2 linked regions of the Oryctolagus cuniculus genome follow. The protein of the gene in region 2 purifies or fractionates together with the protein of the main gene of each other region. This does not show direct contact. Links are inferred from orthologs where the notes say so. Each region holds a gene or a part of one and is shown on either strand. Other genes may lie near its edges.

Region 1 (8,673 bases), on a different chromosome or scaffold from region 2:
CTCTGTCCTCAATGAATCATACTATGAGATTTAACTGTAAAACTTCTTCTCAAGCAGTTTTTATATTTGTGTGTATGTGTGTGTGCATGCAAATAGTTGAAATCTTTACTTAGTATAGAGTTGGTCTTCTGTGTATAAAGTTAATCGAAAATGAATGGAGAATGAGACTGTAAATGGGAAAGGGAGGAGGAAGTAGGGCTAGGAGGGCAGGTATGGTGGGAAGAATCACTGTATTCTTAAAGATGTACTCATAAAATTTATACTTACTAAATAGAATGTTTCTAAAAAAAGAGAGGGAGAAAAATAGATTGGTCCTTTTTTTTTTAAAAAAGAAATATTTATTTATGTATTTGAAAGAGTTACAGAGAAAGGGACAGACAGATCTTCATCTGCTGGTTCACTCCCCAGATGGCCACAATGGCTAGGGCTGGACCAGGCCAAAGCCAGAAGCCAGGAACTTCATCCAGGTTTCCCATGTGGATGTCAGAGGCCCCAGCACTTGGGCCATCTGCTGCTGCTTTTCTCAGGCTATTAATTTGGAAGTGGAGCAGCCAGGATATGCACCAGCACTCATATGGGATGCTGGCCTAACAGGCGGTGGCTTTACCTGGTGCACTGGCTCCACTTCTTTTCTTTTTCAGCCACATCCATCAATAACTAAATATTGTTTCCTGTGTTAATCCATTTTGTGTTGCTATAACAGAACACTCAAGGTTGGGTAATATATATTACAAGAGGTTTATTTGGCTTATGATTTTGGTGCCTGGGAGTCCACACAGCCTGGTGCCAGCCTGCAGCAAGGACCTCCCTTGCTTGTGGAGGAGCAGAAAGGGAACCGCCATGTGCAGAGGAAACCAAGCACGCAGGATGGCTTTACAGTTTCACAGCATGCTCTTTAGTTAACTGTTTCAGTCACGGAGACCTGACCCACTTCTGCCAGACAGCACTAATCCATTCATGAGTGTGGGACCTCCATGACCTAATTACCTTCCACTAGGCCGCATCTCTCAAAGGTTCCACCGCCTGCACATCACCACACTGGGCACCCAGCCTCCAGCGCAGGAACCTGTGGCAGACAGACCACATGCAGTGCACAGCATGCTCGCTGCCGCGTGCCCTCCCTGTCTTCCCTTCATTTTTCCCCACGAAAGGCAATTCAGAACTCTTCAGACACAAGTAGATAAAATGCCCCACTCTTTCTTTTATGTTTCTGATTGAAAATGAAAACTCTTTAGCCCATGATATATATTGCAGTTCGCTTGCTCTCCTCTTTGCTAGATCCTGTGCTCCTCAGAGCAGAGACTTGGTCTATCTTACCTTTCTGTTCTCATTGGTTTAGCCCATTACAGCCAATCAGTTCACATTGATTGTACTAATGATCTTGACTCCTCAACTTATTTCTAAGAGAGAGGGACACACACACACACACACACACACACACGCATGCACACATGCATACACACACAGATCTTCCATATGCTGGTTCACTCCCCAAGTGGCTTCAGCAGCCAGCACTGGGCCAAGCTGAAGCCAGGAGCCAGAAACTCCATCCAGGTCTCCCATGTTGGTGCAGGGGCCCAACAACTTGGGCCATCTTTTGCTGCTTTTCCTGGTGCATTATCAGGGAGCTGGATTGGAAATGGAGCAGCCAAGACTCAAATGGTGCCCATATGTGTACTGGCTTTGCAGGCAGAGGCTTAACCCATTGCACCACCACACTGGTCCCTGCACTGTCCTCTTTATTAAATGTAAAAGTCTTACTGTTCTAAAATCTGTTATATGCTATTTCTCCTGCCTCGTGGCCTGTCAGATTTTGTGCTGTAACAAACTATTTTAATTGCTGCAGTTTTATGTTTTAATAATTGTTAGGATAAATTTCAAAACTTTCCTTTTTAAATTGTTCCTACAAGGTTCTGCTCAATTATTATTCCAGTTTGATTTTTGAATCAAAAACAATCTTACTGAGGTTTTGATTGAAAATTCTTTAAAACTTAAATTAATTTTATTCATTTATTGATTTAACAATGATTCATGCCTACCTTTTCTGTGGATTAGGTAGCTCTCTGTTGATTCTTTTTTTTTTCTTTTAAAGATTTATTTATTTGAAAGTCAGAGTTACACAGAGAGAGGAGAGGCAGAGAGAGAGAGAGAGATCTTCCATCCGCTGGTTCACTTTGACTGCAACAGCCGGAGCTGTGCTGATCCAAAGCCAGGAGCCAGGAGCTTCCGCCGGGTCTCTCACGCAGGTGCAGGTGCCCGTGCCCAAGGCATTGGACCATCTTCTACTGCTTTCCAGACCATAGCAGAGAGCTGGATCAGAAGTGGAGCAGCCGGGACTGGAACCAGTGCCCATATGGGGTGCCGGCACTGCAGGCGGTGGCTTTACCTGCTGCGCCACACTGCTGGCCTCTCTCTGTTGATTCTAATCAACACTTTCTTTAACATCTTTCAGCGGTTTATTTGACATTCTGCCGTTGGTAATTTGAATTGTACCCTGGAGACAAATCTTGGAAAAATGGTTCATTAGCAAACTTTTTTGCATTAGCTGTTCAAAGAGAGTTTTTTAAAATGAATTTTAGGTAAATAATCTTTTCAATACAATCTTTAATTTGAGGATCTTCTCTTTGAATCCTCTTTTGGTTTTTGTTAATTCATTTAGAAAAACCCAAGTAATTCTGATTTGTGATCCTTTAAACTGTACTTTCCGCACTCTTCCCTTTGGTTACCTATAAAAGGATTTGTTTTTCTTTGTAGTTCAGAAATATTAATTAACTCTACCATGACGTGAGTCTATGTTAATTTTCTTGGGAATCCCATCATCTTATATCTGGCCTCATTATCTTTTTTGTTTTGAATTTTTGAAAATTTTCTTCTGTCCTTTTGATTTTCAGCTTTATATCATCTGTTCTATGCTTTGGAGTCCTGGTTACTGTAGGTTGAATCTGCCTGGCCTGTTTTCTAGTTACTTAATATTCTGTAGCATTTATTAAATTTGCATCACTATTTTTTTCTCAGGGGTCTTTGTGGCTGAGTTGTCTGCAATGCCATGTCTGTTGTATATGGACTCAGATGGTGCTGAATTCATTTTTATCTTGAGCTATTCTTATTTAATATAAATACTATCTTTTTAAAATCTCTGACCTTTTTAAAAAAATCTCTGTCCTTTTAATACTACCTAATATTTGTCAGTCATTCTTTAATTTTTTTGGCATTTAAAAATTGATGAGTTTTTGGGACCCCCATTGTGGTATAATGAGTAAAGCTGCCACCTGTGTCACGGGCATCCTACCAGGGTACTGGTTCATGTCCCTGCTGCTCCACTTCTGATCCAACTCCCTACTAATGGCCTGGGAAAAGTAGAAGATAGCCCAAGTGTTTGGGCCTCTGCCACCCATGCGTGAGACCTGGGTGAAGCACCTGGCTCCTTCCTTCAGCCTGGCCCAGTGCTGGCTGTTGTGGCCGTCTGAGGAGTGAACCAGTGAATGGAAGAACTCACTCTCTTTGTCTCTCTTTTTCTCTCTGTAACTCTGAGTTTCAAAAATAAAAAAAATAAATCTTTTAAAAAAATTGATGAGTTTTTATTTTGGCTCTTCTTTCTTTGTTTTCCTTTTCAAAATGCTTTTGTTTGTAGGTTTTTGTTTGTAAGTTAATTCTTCTTTAATATTGATGAACCAAGATTTGTTGGCATTAGGTTGGCATTTAATGATATTTGAAGGAAATAAGTTCTTAACCCTATTAATTCTTGTTTCATTTTAAGAAATTCTATGACACATTCCTAGAAACAAATTTTTATAATGTTCTATACATGATTGTGTGCAAATGGATGGTTAAAAGTTCATTGGCAGTGTCATTTGTTTTCTGTTTTAGGGACTTCACTGTGACTTTGCTTGCCTGATGTTTCAGTATTTAGTAAATAAGCCTTCAGAAGAGAGGGTCAGAGAGATCATTGTTAATGCTGTCGAAATTGAGCAGGTAAGCAAAGTCCCTGCAGGTAGCACGTTTTTGTTTGTTTGTTTTTCCCCTGATATTTGTACCATTGTGTTAGGTTAATCAGGAAATTGTCATTTTGTAGCAATTTTATTTTATTTTTTTCTGGGCAAGCCCTTTAATGAATGAATACTGTTATGGACAATGTCAAAAGTCCTTGTTATGTAGAAGTACTGCTCTATGTCGAGAGAGCAATTCTCCAGTTGGCCACAGTATACTCCTGCTGACTCTCTCGGGGTTACAGTCCCCTGCTGATGGCTCGCGGGGACTTTGGTGAACCTGCTTGTACTCAGTCTAATGCCTCTTTCCCCGAGAATGTCTAGAAGCTGAGTTGAAGAGAGGCTACTCGAAAGGAGGGGGGTGAGACTGGGGACCCTGTTCAGAAAGCATCCCCTGGGATCCCTGAGCCGGGGCTTAGAACGTGCAGGGACCGTGGGGCCAGTACTCAGGCAGCTTCCTGCACAGTGCTTGTCGAAGCTCAGTGGTACCACAGCCTCCATGGCTCGGATCTTGGCAGTGTGCTCCCTGTACAGGAGCTGCATTGCGGCCAGGCCTCTCGGTAGGGGGCCCTACCAACCCATGGGTGTTGTTGCGTAGCTGGTGGTTGGTGCACTTGTAGTCATCTGGGCGTGCCGGGACCAGCTGCTGCCACGCCGTCGCTCTTCTCTGTGCTGCTCAGTGGAAGTGTGGCCAGCTCCTCGGTGATTTCCATACTGCTCAGGTTGCATTCCACCTCCCCATCTGGCTGACTCCATCGCTGCCTCCTCCTCTTTGGGTGGAGTTTGGCCTTTTCCTTCCTTTCTCCCTCCCTCCCCCCCTTCTCTTCCTCCTGATTTATTTATTTATTTATTCGTTTATTTATTTATTTATTTGAGAGGTGGAGAAAGAGAAAGGTCTTGCATCCACTGGTTCACTCCCCAACTGGCTGCATTGGCCAGAGCTGTGCCAGTCCAAAGCCAGGAGCCAGGAGCTTCTTCTAGTCTCCCAGGTGGTTGCAGAGGCCCAAGCACTTGGACCATCTTCTGCTGCTTTCCCAGGCATTGGCAGAAAGCTGGATCGGAAGTGAAGCAGCTGGGACTTGAACTGGCATCCATATGGGATGCTGGCGCCACAGGCTTCAGCTTTACCCACTGGGCCATGGCCTCAGCCCCTTGGTCCTTTTAGGCAGCTGGATCCCACGACTGTCATGTGGAAGCTGCCCACACCTTGTACAATGTGAGTAAGTGCCATGGAAGTCCTGTGAGGCCATTCGATGGTCACACAAGAGCTGAGGACACTCAGCCTCACTGTCATTGGTGCTTTGTGGCTGAAACCCAGGAGCAAAGTACCACAGGGAACTGAAATAGGAACGCCTTCTGGTGGCCTCGCCTCCAGGCCATCACCTGATGAAGATGGTGCCAGTACCTTGCACATACCGGATGACAGTACCACAAACTGGTAGCTTTCGATGCTGACACCTCTGTGAAAGTCCAAATGGGTACTGAAACTCGTGGGCCTGCTGCTTGCAGGTCGGGGCAGTGAGCAAGCAGCATTACTTTTCCATGGGGAAACTAAAGGGGAAACTGGCAATTTTATATGGTTAGCCTTGATGGTACGAATATGTGATGTATTGCAATTACTGTAAGTCAGTTTATAATTTGGTTTGTAAGTCAGCCTTTTTTCCCAAACTTTATATTTTATTTATTTATTTTTGAGATAATTTTTTATAAGTCAGTCTATTATATGATTATATTAAGGTTTTAAGTACACTAAAATCTGTCCCAGGCCTGTTTTTCTGTCTCGTTGATCTATCTGTCAAATTTCATGCCATAACAAACTTTATTGTATCTTTACATTTTTAGGTTTTTAGCTAATAGAGGGCAGTGATATTTTTGCTTGTTTATTTTGTATTCTCAGTAACCTAACAGGTACCTAGCTGAAGCATGCACAAAATGTTTACAGAACAAATAAGTAGGGGCTGGCGCTGTGGTGTAGTGGTAAAGCCGCTGCCTGCAGTGCCAGCATCCCATATGGGTGCCAATTTGAGACCCAGCTGCTCCACTTCCCATCCAGCTCTCTTCTATGGCCTAGGAAAACTATAGAAGATGGCCCAAGTCCACGATGGGCCCCTTGCACCCACGTGGGAGACTTGGAAGAAGCTCCTGGCTCCTGGCTTCAGATCAGCATGGCTCCAGCTTTTTGGCCAATTGGGGAATGAACCAGCAGATGGAAGATTCTCTGTCTCTTTCTCTCTCTCTGCCTCTGCCTCTCTATAGCTCTGCCTTTCAAACAAATAAATAAACCTTTAAAAAAAAAAAAAGAACAAATAAGTAACTGGATTAGTGACTAGAAAGGGCTAGGTGCTCTACTCAGGTTGTGTTTTTAATCATTCTAAAGTACTAGTTTGGAAATAGAATATTTTTTAAACACTGCATAGTTTAACATTACTGCATTGTTTTTCATATTGATGGGGGAATGGCATAAGATACATTTTGGAATCTTTAATTGTTTTAAAAACTAAATCCAAATAATTAATATGGTTTTATTTTTCCTCTATTAACACTTTATCACTGTCTTTCAGGGTAGTTGGAGTTTCATTTACCTCCCAACCCCCAGATCTGCTCTTTTTGTTTGTTTATTTTGGTCCTGTCTTTGTTAATTGAGCTTTCTCAACTCCTTTCCTTAGTGATGTTCCCCATGCTGATGAACTTTAGTGAATCTTTGTAAATTTTTCAAGATAAAACATCTTTTTCTAATGAAAAAAAAAATGAATCCAGGTCCTACATGCACTACTTTTAAAAATCCAGTAATTCGGTAGTTTCTATTTATTTTGGCTCTTTGAGAATGTGAAAGAATATGCATAGTAATATCCCATATATTTTTAAGCAAATGGACCTCATGTGCCACATCGAAACAGTTTATCCATAGTGCTTTCCTTGAACAAGATCAGTGTCTTAGAAAATAAAAGCAAAATCTTTCTTTTTGGAAAATGCGTACTTATTATTTTTTTATCTCTATACTTTACTCTGTTTTTGTTTCCCTTTCAGGAGTTTTTAACAGAAGCCTTGCCGGTTGGCCTCATTGGAATGAACTGTATTTTGATGAAGCAGTACATTGAGTTTGTAGCTGACAGGTTACTCATGGAACTTGGATTCTCAAAGGTAAGATTTTTATAACTGTGTTACTACTAATTAAATGTTATAGCCAGGTAATACCCCTAGGATATATTTTACAAAAAGCATTTGCAGTACTTTTTTACATATAATTTTTTAACATTAATTTTTTACTCATTTATTTCTTTTTGTTGTTTTTAAAAGGTTTATTTTAATGTCATAAAATTAGAAATTCATAGCAAAATTGCCAAATTTAGACTACTTAGAAGTTGAGAAAACCTTTAAAATGAGATTAAAAATAAAATATAACTTACTGAAAGTATAAACTAAATTACAGTGGTCTTACTATATATCGGAACCTTTAGAATACAGTTAGAGAGATCCTCGGCAATTATGGCCTTGAATGTGTGCGTAAGAAAACAAGACAGAATCGATCCAACTCTCTGCTGTGGCCTGGGAAAGCAATAGAAGATGGCCCTGCACCCATGTTGGAGGCCCGGAAGAAGCTCCTGACTCCTGGCTTCAGACTGGCCCAGCTCCAGCTATTACAGCTGTTTGGGGAGTGAACCAGCGGATGGAAGACCTTTTTCTCTGTCTCTTTCTCTCTCTGTCTGTAACTCTACCTCTCAAGTAAATAAATAAATAAATAAATAAATGTGTTAAAAAAAAAAGATGGCAATTTAAAATATTTGAACTGAACTTTAAACCCAAGGAGCTAGGAAAAGAATTATTGCTATGATATGTTTCGCTAAACAGATTATTTAAATTTTACAGATTCTTAAATAGGACTCACATTAATGATGTCATCAGCTTCTCTTTGGCTTTGAGATTAGTCAGTATGCATTTGAGTGCTCTTAGGTTTCAGGCACAAGCTACTTAATTCAATTTGGTCTTGATTTCCTTGCCTGTGCTGCACATGATTGGGATCTGATTTTTCTGAAAGATCTATTGTTCCGAAATCCAGTGATTCTATGGCTGTTGGCCCAGAGCTCTTTCCATTGTATCTTGTAAAATGTAGTTCAGATTTTCAGTCATTCTTAACACATAGTTTCTAACAATTTCACTGAGTTCCAGAACTCCGCCATATACAGCATATGAACTTTTCCTTTGGAGATAGTCATATATCTCTAAAGCTTTTTTGTTTAAAAGTTATTTATTTATTTGAACATCAGAGTTACACAGAGAGAGAAATAGAGGCAGAGAGAGACAGAAAAAGATAGGTCTTCCATCCACTGGTTCACTCCCCATATGGCCACAATGGCCAGAGCTGTGCGGATCCAAAGCCAGGAGCCAGGAGCTTCTTGCAGGTCTCCCACATGGGTGCAGAGGCCCAAGGACTTGAGCCATCTTCCACTGCTTTCCCAGGCCATAGCAGAGTGCTGGATCAGATGTGGAGCAGCCAGGACTCGAACCAGCACCCAAATGGGATGCCAGCACTGCATATGGTGGCTTTACCCACTACACCACAGCACTGGCCCCTATATTTAAAGCTTTATTAAGAAAGAAATCACATAGGATGCAATTTGCCCAGTAAAAATGTACAGTTCATTGGTTTTTACAAAAGTTCACAAAGTTGTTGAACATAGTAAACCAA
Region 2 (8,223 bases):
ATAATACATTCCAGTCTTCAAACCCTACAAGTGAAGTAAATACAAATATTAGATCTGTGAAAACTCTAGATATGCAACACTAATGTTTAGAAGACATTCCCATAAATCGGGTCAAATTATTTCCTGAATGTACAATTACAGCTCTTCTAGGAAATATTCTCAAAAATGCTTAGATAGTTGGACAGCTTACGATCTGTTCTTTTCACCCCTAAAACATGTTTATCTCTTTGGAAAAGTCAAGTATTTTTGTTCTCATCTTTATTTGTATGTGTATGACTTCCAAGTTTGCCGAAGACTATTGCCTTAATGTCTGCCTTAAATTGTTTAACTATTTACAGGGTTAGACTGTGTCTCTGTGTAACACTAGACTACGACTATTTCAAGGGTAAGAATCATCACCTTCTCTTTAGCGTACCCAGGCCTGACACATGGTAGATGTTTTATATACACATGTTAATTTTTTAAAAAGATTTATAATTCTACATCAATATTCATCACATGGCTACAGAAGAGGAATACAATCTAGAATCCCAGGACTCTGAAGTTGGTGATGACTAGGTTAATTAACTTGGCCTTTACACTGTAGATAAAGTGAGGAAACATTGGATGCTGAGAAAAAGCAAATTGGATATGTACAATGTTTTATTTTAGGGATTCATTGCAGAAGACAACCTGAAAAGTTAATATAGCAAAGAGATCAGTTAATATTGACAGAAGAATAGGAATGAATAATCTGAACAAACAGTACAGGGGCTGGCGCTGTGCCAGAGCAGGTAAAGCTACCACCTGCAGTGCTGGCATCCCATATGGGTGACAGTTCGAGACCCGGCTGCTCCTCTCCTGATTCAGCTCTGTATGGCCTGGGAAAGCAGCAGAAGATGGCCTCAGTCCTTGGGCCCCTGCACCCACACTGGAGATCTGGAAGAAGCTCCTGGCTCCTGGCTTCGGACTGGCCCAGCTCTGGCCATTGCGGCCATCTGGGGAGTGAGCCAGAGGATGGAAAACCTCTCTCTTTGCTCTGCCTCTCTGTAACTCGGCCTTTCAAATAAATAAATAAATCTTAAAAAAGAGAAGAAACAGTACAAAGGAACAACCAACTCAGCTTAGTAAGTAACTGCATGGAGAGCAAAGAAAGAGAGGATCATACATAACTTTAAGTGTCTAAAAACCTAGGAATTAAATAATACTAACAGAAACCAGAAAAGCTAAAGCAAGAGTCTGATCTTAACAAAAATGATAGGTTAGTATTAACACATTGAATTTTAAGTCAAAGAAAAACTTCTAGATGACAACATTTAACAGGTAACTAGAACACAAAACTGTTCCAATTCCAAAATATCCCAGGTTGACAATTAACCCTTGATTTCCTCTACAAACCTGCTTCCAGCCATAGAAGTGCATACTAGTGAGTTTGCCATAGTTAGGCTCAGCAATATGGATGTTCAAAGACTGGCTTTGATCAATGAAAGCACCTCTCTCAGCTGCCATCTTGAGTACAGTTTTCTGAGAGATTTCCCATACAGTCTTATAAAGTTGCTTCAGGTCATCAGGAATTTCTGGTATGCTCTAAAGAAAGGAAACCAAATATTCATTCTACTCCACTTCAGGAAAGCAGTATGATTAACAGAATAGTGATACAAAGGTCTAGTCTGTCTGCCAAATCTGACTCTATCATACATGATCTTGCCAAGTTTGCCAATAAAAGTCCAACAAAACCCCATCTGAGGAACCAAATATCAATCTGGTGGTAGTAATTTAAGCATCCCTCTATAATTGGCTTATGATCAAAACATTCATTATTCATTATTAAGAAAGGAAAGTAACAGCTAAGCAGCATAAATCACCCTTGAGTTTTGCAAAATACACAAATAATCAGGACTGTAACTCACAGGGACATAATCAGGGAAAAAATGAGGCAAGCCCACTTAAAGACAGGACTTTACAAACTCTATTTGTGCCCAAAGAAACCAGGTTTTCTTGGGTCATGGTTAACCTGAAAACACACAGACTAGGGTCCAGTGCTGTGGGTGTAGCAGGTAAAGCCACTGCCTGCAGTGCCTCTATCCTATATGGGCACTAGTTCAAGTCTCAGCTGCTCCACTTCGATTCAGCTCCCTGCTATGGCCTGGGAAAGCAGCAAGATGGCTCAAATGCTTGGGTCCCTGCACCCGCATGGGAGACCTGGAAGAAGCTCCTGGCTCCTGGCTTTGGATCAGCCCTGGTCTGGCCAATGTGGCCATTTAGGGAGTAAACCAGCAGTTGGAAGTCCTCTCTCTCTCTCTCTGCCTCTCCTTATCTCTGTGTAACTCTGACTATCAAATAAATAAATAAGTCTTTTAAAAAAATAAGTAAACCTTTAAAAAAAAAAAAAGACTAGATAATGCTACAGCTTTTGTCATCAAATACAGAAATGTTACAGGACTCTATGTTGCCAAGTACACCAATGTTTAGCCTATGTCTTCTATCTACAAATGAACGTTTGTTCAACCTCAACTTCATTTGATTATTATATATTATTTGTAATTCTGTCTTTTGGATTATAGTCCTCAGCCTCTATCATACTTTTAAATTAAGTTTAACTCTCTAATTTCAGTGGCCCTCAAATTTTGATACATTTTTAAATCACCTAAGGAAACTTTAAAATATATTGATAATGTCTGGCTCCCACTTTCAGACATTCTTAGATGGCAAGGAATACAATCTAAATTTCAGGATTTTCAAAGTTCCCCAATTATGCAGACATGCTGGGAACCACTGCTTTACATTCTTGAACAAGACTTGTTGTAAGAGGTGTATAATCCTAGCACACCAATGCAGAGGTGAACAGAGCTACATGAATCACAGCCTACAGATCCATAATGAATAGCTATTTTTTCCTCTCTCCATTTTCTGGGATAAGTGAGGAGGCACCACAATGTCCAACTCAGCTCCTGAAGAGCACACTTCATGGGTTGGTGCTGTGGTGTAGGAGGTAAAGCTGATGCCTGTGGTGCTACCATGTGGCTCCACTTCCAATCCAGCTTCCTGCTAATGCACCTGGGAAAGCTGCAGAAGATGGCCAAAATGATTGGGCCCCTGCACCCACATGGCAGACCCAGAGGAAGCACCTGGCTTCAGATCAACCCAGCTCTGACCGCTGCAGCCACGGGAGTGAACCAGTGGATGGATAATGTCTCTTTGTCTCTCCCTCTCTATATAACTCTGCCTTTAAAATAAATGAATAAACCTAAAAAAAGGGAAAAAAAAAAAGCACACTTCATTTTCTTGCTATACCTGGATAGAGCCATTGCACGCAATAATCTGGTTTTTCATCTCTTCATTCCACAAGCCCCTCTCAGTAAGATCTTTCAATAAGTGAGGATTTACAATCTGAATGGAAAAACAGAAAAAATGTAAAGAAATAACAATGACAGGGCTCACATAGACTCACAGGCCTGGAGCTTTACATAAATAAGATCACCAAAGAATTACTTAACATTAGATTGCTTAGTAAATTCATTTAGCTATATTCATTTAAAATCCTAACATCTGTTATTAAAGAAACAATATATTATGGTAAATACATTATAATGTCTGTATATATTAATATTAAAACATCTTATTGTACATCTTGGATATATACAATTTTTGTCAACTATACCTCAATAAAGTTGGAAGAAACTTAATTACAATAAGAAATATGACATTTACCTAAACTGGGTAAATCTATATGGATTAATTCTTTGTTTTTTCTAAGTAAAGATAAAATAAATACTTAAGTTAAAAAAATTAGAGGAGTCGGAGTTTAGTCTCACAGTTAAGACACTAGTTAAGAGTTGGCATCCCACACTGGAGTTCAAAACCCTACTCTGGCTCTTGATTCCAGCTTCCTGCTCATACAGTCTCTGTTAGACAGGCAGAAGTGATGGCTCAAGTAACTGGGTTTGTCATCCTGTGGGAAACCTGGATTGAGTTCCTGGCTCCTGGTCTTAGATAGTTTTCAGGGCACTTAAGGAGTGAACCAGCAAAGGGACACTCTCTCTCCCTATTTATCTGACTCTCCGTCTCTCAAATTCAAAAATAAACAAATTACTTAGAAATATATCTTCCCAAAATCTTATAAAATTTTACTTTAGGATATCTGGAAAATCATAAATGAAAATCTCTAAATTAGTGATCCTTTTTTTCAGGATATCTGGAAATTCATAAATGAAAAAAACCTCTAAATTAGTGAATTTCACCAGAAATGCAAGGTGGTAATCAAGTCTGAGAATCACTATCTTAGATAGTACTTCCATATACCCCAAATCAATCATCAGAGGCCACAGGAATCACTGATTATATAACGGTTAAATATCACATGAACTCTAATATCAACAAGGTACTTTCATATTGAACCCCCATTTATTCTTTCAACAGATATTTATTAAATGTCTATTATGTGCTGAAATAACAGAACAATTTTAGAGATGAAGATGACTCTCTTTTCAAAGTTTTGTCCCCAAAGTAAGTAAAGTTTTACAAAGTAAAAAATGAGTGAGTATTTATGCCCAACATTAAGCTTTTGAAAGATCTCCCTGTCAATCTGGTTGTGAACTTCTCACCTGAAATTCTCCTGACAAGACTCTGCGAGTATAGATGTTGCTAGTGTACGGTTCAATGGATTCATTATTCCCCAGGATCTGAGCAGTTGAAGCAGTTGGCATCGGGGCAAGAAGTAAACTGTTTCTTATACCATACCTAAGGATAAGGAGATTGTTAGTTGCTTGTTCTAAAGCTACAATCAACCAGGGAGGCAGTTACTTAAAGTCACTGGGAGTAACACCATGAATATATGCTATAACTCTTATGCTGACTTCTGAATTAAATTCCTATAGGGAGGAGCCAGCGCTGTGGCTTAGCAGGTTAAATTGCTGCCTATAGTGCCGGCATCCCATATAGACGCCAGTTCAAGTCCAGGCTGCTCCATTTCTGATCCAGCCCTCTGCTATGGCCTGAGAAAGCAGTAGAAGATGGCCCAAGTGCTCGGGCCTCTGCACCCGCATGGGGGACCCAGAGGATGCTCCTAGCTCCAAGCTTTGGATCGGCCATCTGGGGAGTGAACCAGCTGATGGAAGACCTGTCTGTCTCTGTGTCTCTCTCTCTGCCTTTCAAATAAAATAAATAAATCTTAAAATAAAAACAATTCCTATAGAAATTCAAGGCCTCTATGAATGCTGCAGCTCACCCCTTTCTTAAATGCCTGACTCCTACACAGAATTAGCAACACGTTAACTGTTGGCAATCCTAACCAGGTAACAATTTATACTACTTGCACTATAGCACATAGGATTCACAACACTGGATACAATATTTTGCACAGGGAAATACTCAATCACTGCTGAAGAGTTCCCTGCATGTTTCAAGGTATCTGGTTCAACCCTCACTCTTCTAAGGGCCTATATGAATCACTAAACTAGGCCTCTTCAGTAAAAATAATATTGCGAAAGTGGTTAAATTAAGACATATCACTACTTCCTCCGCCTAGCGGCGCCGGCACACCGGGTTCTAGTCCCGGTTGGGGCACCGGATTCTGTCCCGGTTGCCCCTCTTCCAGGCCAGCTCTCTGCTGTGGCCAGGGAGTGCAGTGGAGGATGGCCCAGGTGCTTGGGCCCTGCACCCCATGGGAGACCAGGAAAAGCACCTGGCTCCTGGCTCCTGCCATCGGATCAGCGCGGTGCGCTGGCCGCAGCGCGCCAGCCGCGGCGGCCATTAGAGGGTGAACCAACGGCAAAGGAAGACCTTTCTCTCTGTCTCTCTCTCTCACTGTCCACTCTGCCTGTCCAAAAAAAAAAAAAAGACATATCACTACAATTCTCATTCTCTATTATATTATGAAAAGGGAAAAATCATAGTATGAGGGTACTTCAAAAAATTTACAGACAATGGAATTAAAGTTTGTTTTGATGCAAAAAAAATTTGAAATTCATGATATCAGGGGTCTTCAAAGTTTATGAAAATCCATACTATGAAAACTATGCCTAAATTTCAAACTTTTTGCACCAAAATAAACTTATCTTCTAATTCGATTGTCCATATACTTTTGAAGTACCCTCATATACTCCTAGCTTCATCTATTACATTTTCAATTGTAAGTTCCTAGAAGGTTAACATCTTTTGAATAGTGCCAAAAAGAGTTCTTAACAAAGAATATACTATGTGACACACAGAAATTTCCACACTGCTCCAAGCTTATTCTTCAAAGCTCAGCGTGAGATTCCAATTCTGTAACATCTTCTCTGCCCAGACAGGCAATAAACACAAGTATCAAATACAAATAACTGCTCTGAAAACATTTTCTAAAACCTGTACCTTTATTATATTTTACTTCATATATCTTACTGCACTTAGTCTTAGGTTCTTGAGACTACATACAAACAGTATGTTTTCCTATTTTCTACCTATAGATTCATATACTGCTTAGAACAGAGCCAGAGGTCTTGACAGTGTTTGTACAACTGGGTTCTCAACTTCACATTGTCACTTTCTAGTTGCGAGGCCTCAAGCAAACCACCAGCTATAATTCCTCATCTGTAAAACAGCAACATCTTCTGTCTACAGACAGGAAAATGCTGTGATAAATCAAATGTGTGTTTCAATTTATCTGTAAATGTTCTGGATAAAGTCTAGAGAAACACACACTACTAACAAGGTTCATCATTGGGAAAAACACTGAGTTAAGTTTTTTGTTTTGTGGGACAAGTGGCTGGCAGAGATTATGAAGAAGGGCATAGAATTTAAACTCTACTAACAATGAGTGAATATAATGAATGAATAAATATCATTAATATATTAATTTTTAAATTCAAAAAGTCATGGGGGTGGGCATTTTGGCACAGTGGATCAGCTGCTGCTTGGGACACCTGCATCCCATATCAGAGTGCTGTGTCTGTGTCCTGATCCAGTTTCCTGCTACTGTGTATCCTGGGAGGCAGCAAGTGATGGCTCAAGAGCTCAGGCCCCTGCCACTACATAGGTGACTCAGACCAGATGGAGTTCTGGGCTTCTGGGTTTGGCCTGGTCCAGCCCTGGCTACTATGGGCATTTGGTGAGTGAACCAGTGGATGGAAGAATTTTTTTAAAGACTTATTTATTTACTTGAGAGGCAGAGTAACAGAGAGAGGGAGAGACAGAAAGAATGGTCTTCCACCCACTGGTTCACTCCCCAAATGGCCACTACAGACAGAACTGGGCTGATCTGAAGCCAGGAGCCAAGTGCTTCTTCCGGGTCTCCCACGTGGGTGCAGGGATCCAAGCACTTGGGGCATCTTATACTGCTTTCCCCCAGGCCATCAGCAGGGAGCTGGCTTGGAAGACGAGCAGCTGGAACCTGAATTTCCACCTATATAGGATGCCTGCCCAACAGGCAGATGCTTAACCTACTATGCCACAGTGCTGGCTCCCAGATGGAAGATCTTGGTGTTTCTCTTTTTCTCTGCCTTTCAAACAAATGAAAATAAAATAAACACTTTCACATATAAAATGCAGTACATATCCTTTTTTGTTAAAGTTGAATTTGCATGTAATATGCACATACACACACCCTCATAAGAAAATTTGAAGGCTGACAAACACAAAGATGCAATCAGGTATTCAGGTGTGGTGGTATCAGAAAAGTATTCATTCTCCTCCTCTTCCCATGTGTATTTTCCTAAACTTTCTAAGGTGTATTATTAAATTAACAGAAACAATCTTTAAGGAAAGTAATTATTCGTAGATGTCAAACTCAATGATAGAAAAGGAAAACATTGGTTTCATTATTTGCTCAGCAAAACATCCTGTCTGCCCTCAAACCTCATACGCTCTTTAGCTTAAAAAGCCTGCATGAGGCCAGTGCTGTGGTGCAGTGGGTTAAAGCCCTGGCCTGAAGTGCCAGCATCCCATATGGGCACCGGTTCTAGTCCCGGCTGCTCCTCTTCTGATCCAGCTCTCTGCTATGGCCTGGGATAGCAGTAGAAGATGGCCCAGGTCCTTGGGCCCCTGCACCCATGTGAGAGACCAGGAAAAAGCTCCTGGCTCCTGTTTTCAGATCAGCACAGCTCTGGCCATTGCGGCCATCTGGGGAGTGAACCGGCAAATGGAAGACCTCTCTCTCTCTCTGTCTCTACCTCTCTCTGTAACTCTGTCTTTCAAATAAATAAAATAAATCTTAAAAAAAAAAATAGCCTGAAAAGACTAACTTCTAAATCTTTCACACAAAGTTAA

The links.
Region 1: the proteins of RRM1 (region 2) and RRM2B purify together in Homo sapiens (affinity purification with western blotting; 3 studies listed by BioGRID and IntAct, counting the BioPlex papers as one, with this or other methods). This does not show direct contact. The link is inferred for Oryctolagus cuniculus from reciprocal best matches to the Homo sapiens genes RRM1 and RRM2B.

Annotation. Positions count from the first base shown.
Region 1 is NC_091437.1:127,536,545-127,545,217, reverse strand, and holds the end of RRM2B (ribonucleoside-diphosphate reductase subunit M2 B), read left to right. Parts: intron 1-3,867; coding exon 3,868-3,972; intron 3,973-7,013; coding exon 7,014-7,127; intron 7,128-7,444; coding exon 7,445-7,645; 3' UTR 7,646-7,750; downstream 7,751-8,673.
Region 2 is NC_091432.1:62,776,528-62,784,750, forward strand, and holds part of RRM1 (ribonucleoside-diphosphate reductase large subunit), read right to left. Parts: intron 4,720-8,223; coding exon 4,584-4,719; intron 3,370-4,583; coding exon 3,274-3,369; intron 1,567-3,273; coding exon 1,378-1,566; intron 25-1,377; coding exon 1-24. UniProt on the Homo sapiens protein: Provides the precursors necessary for DNA synthesis. Catalyzes the biosynthesis of deoxyribonucleotides from the corresponding ribonucleotides.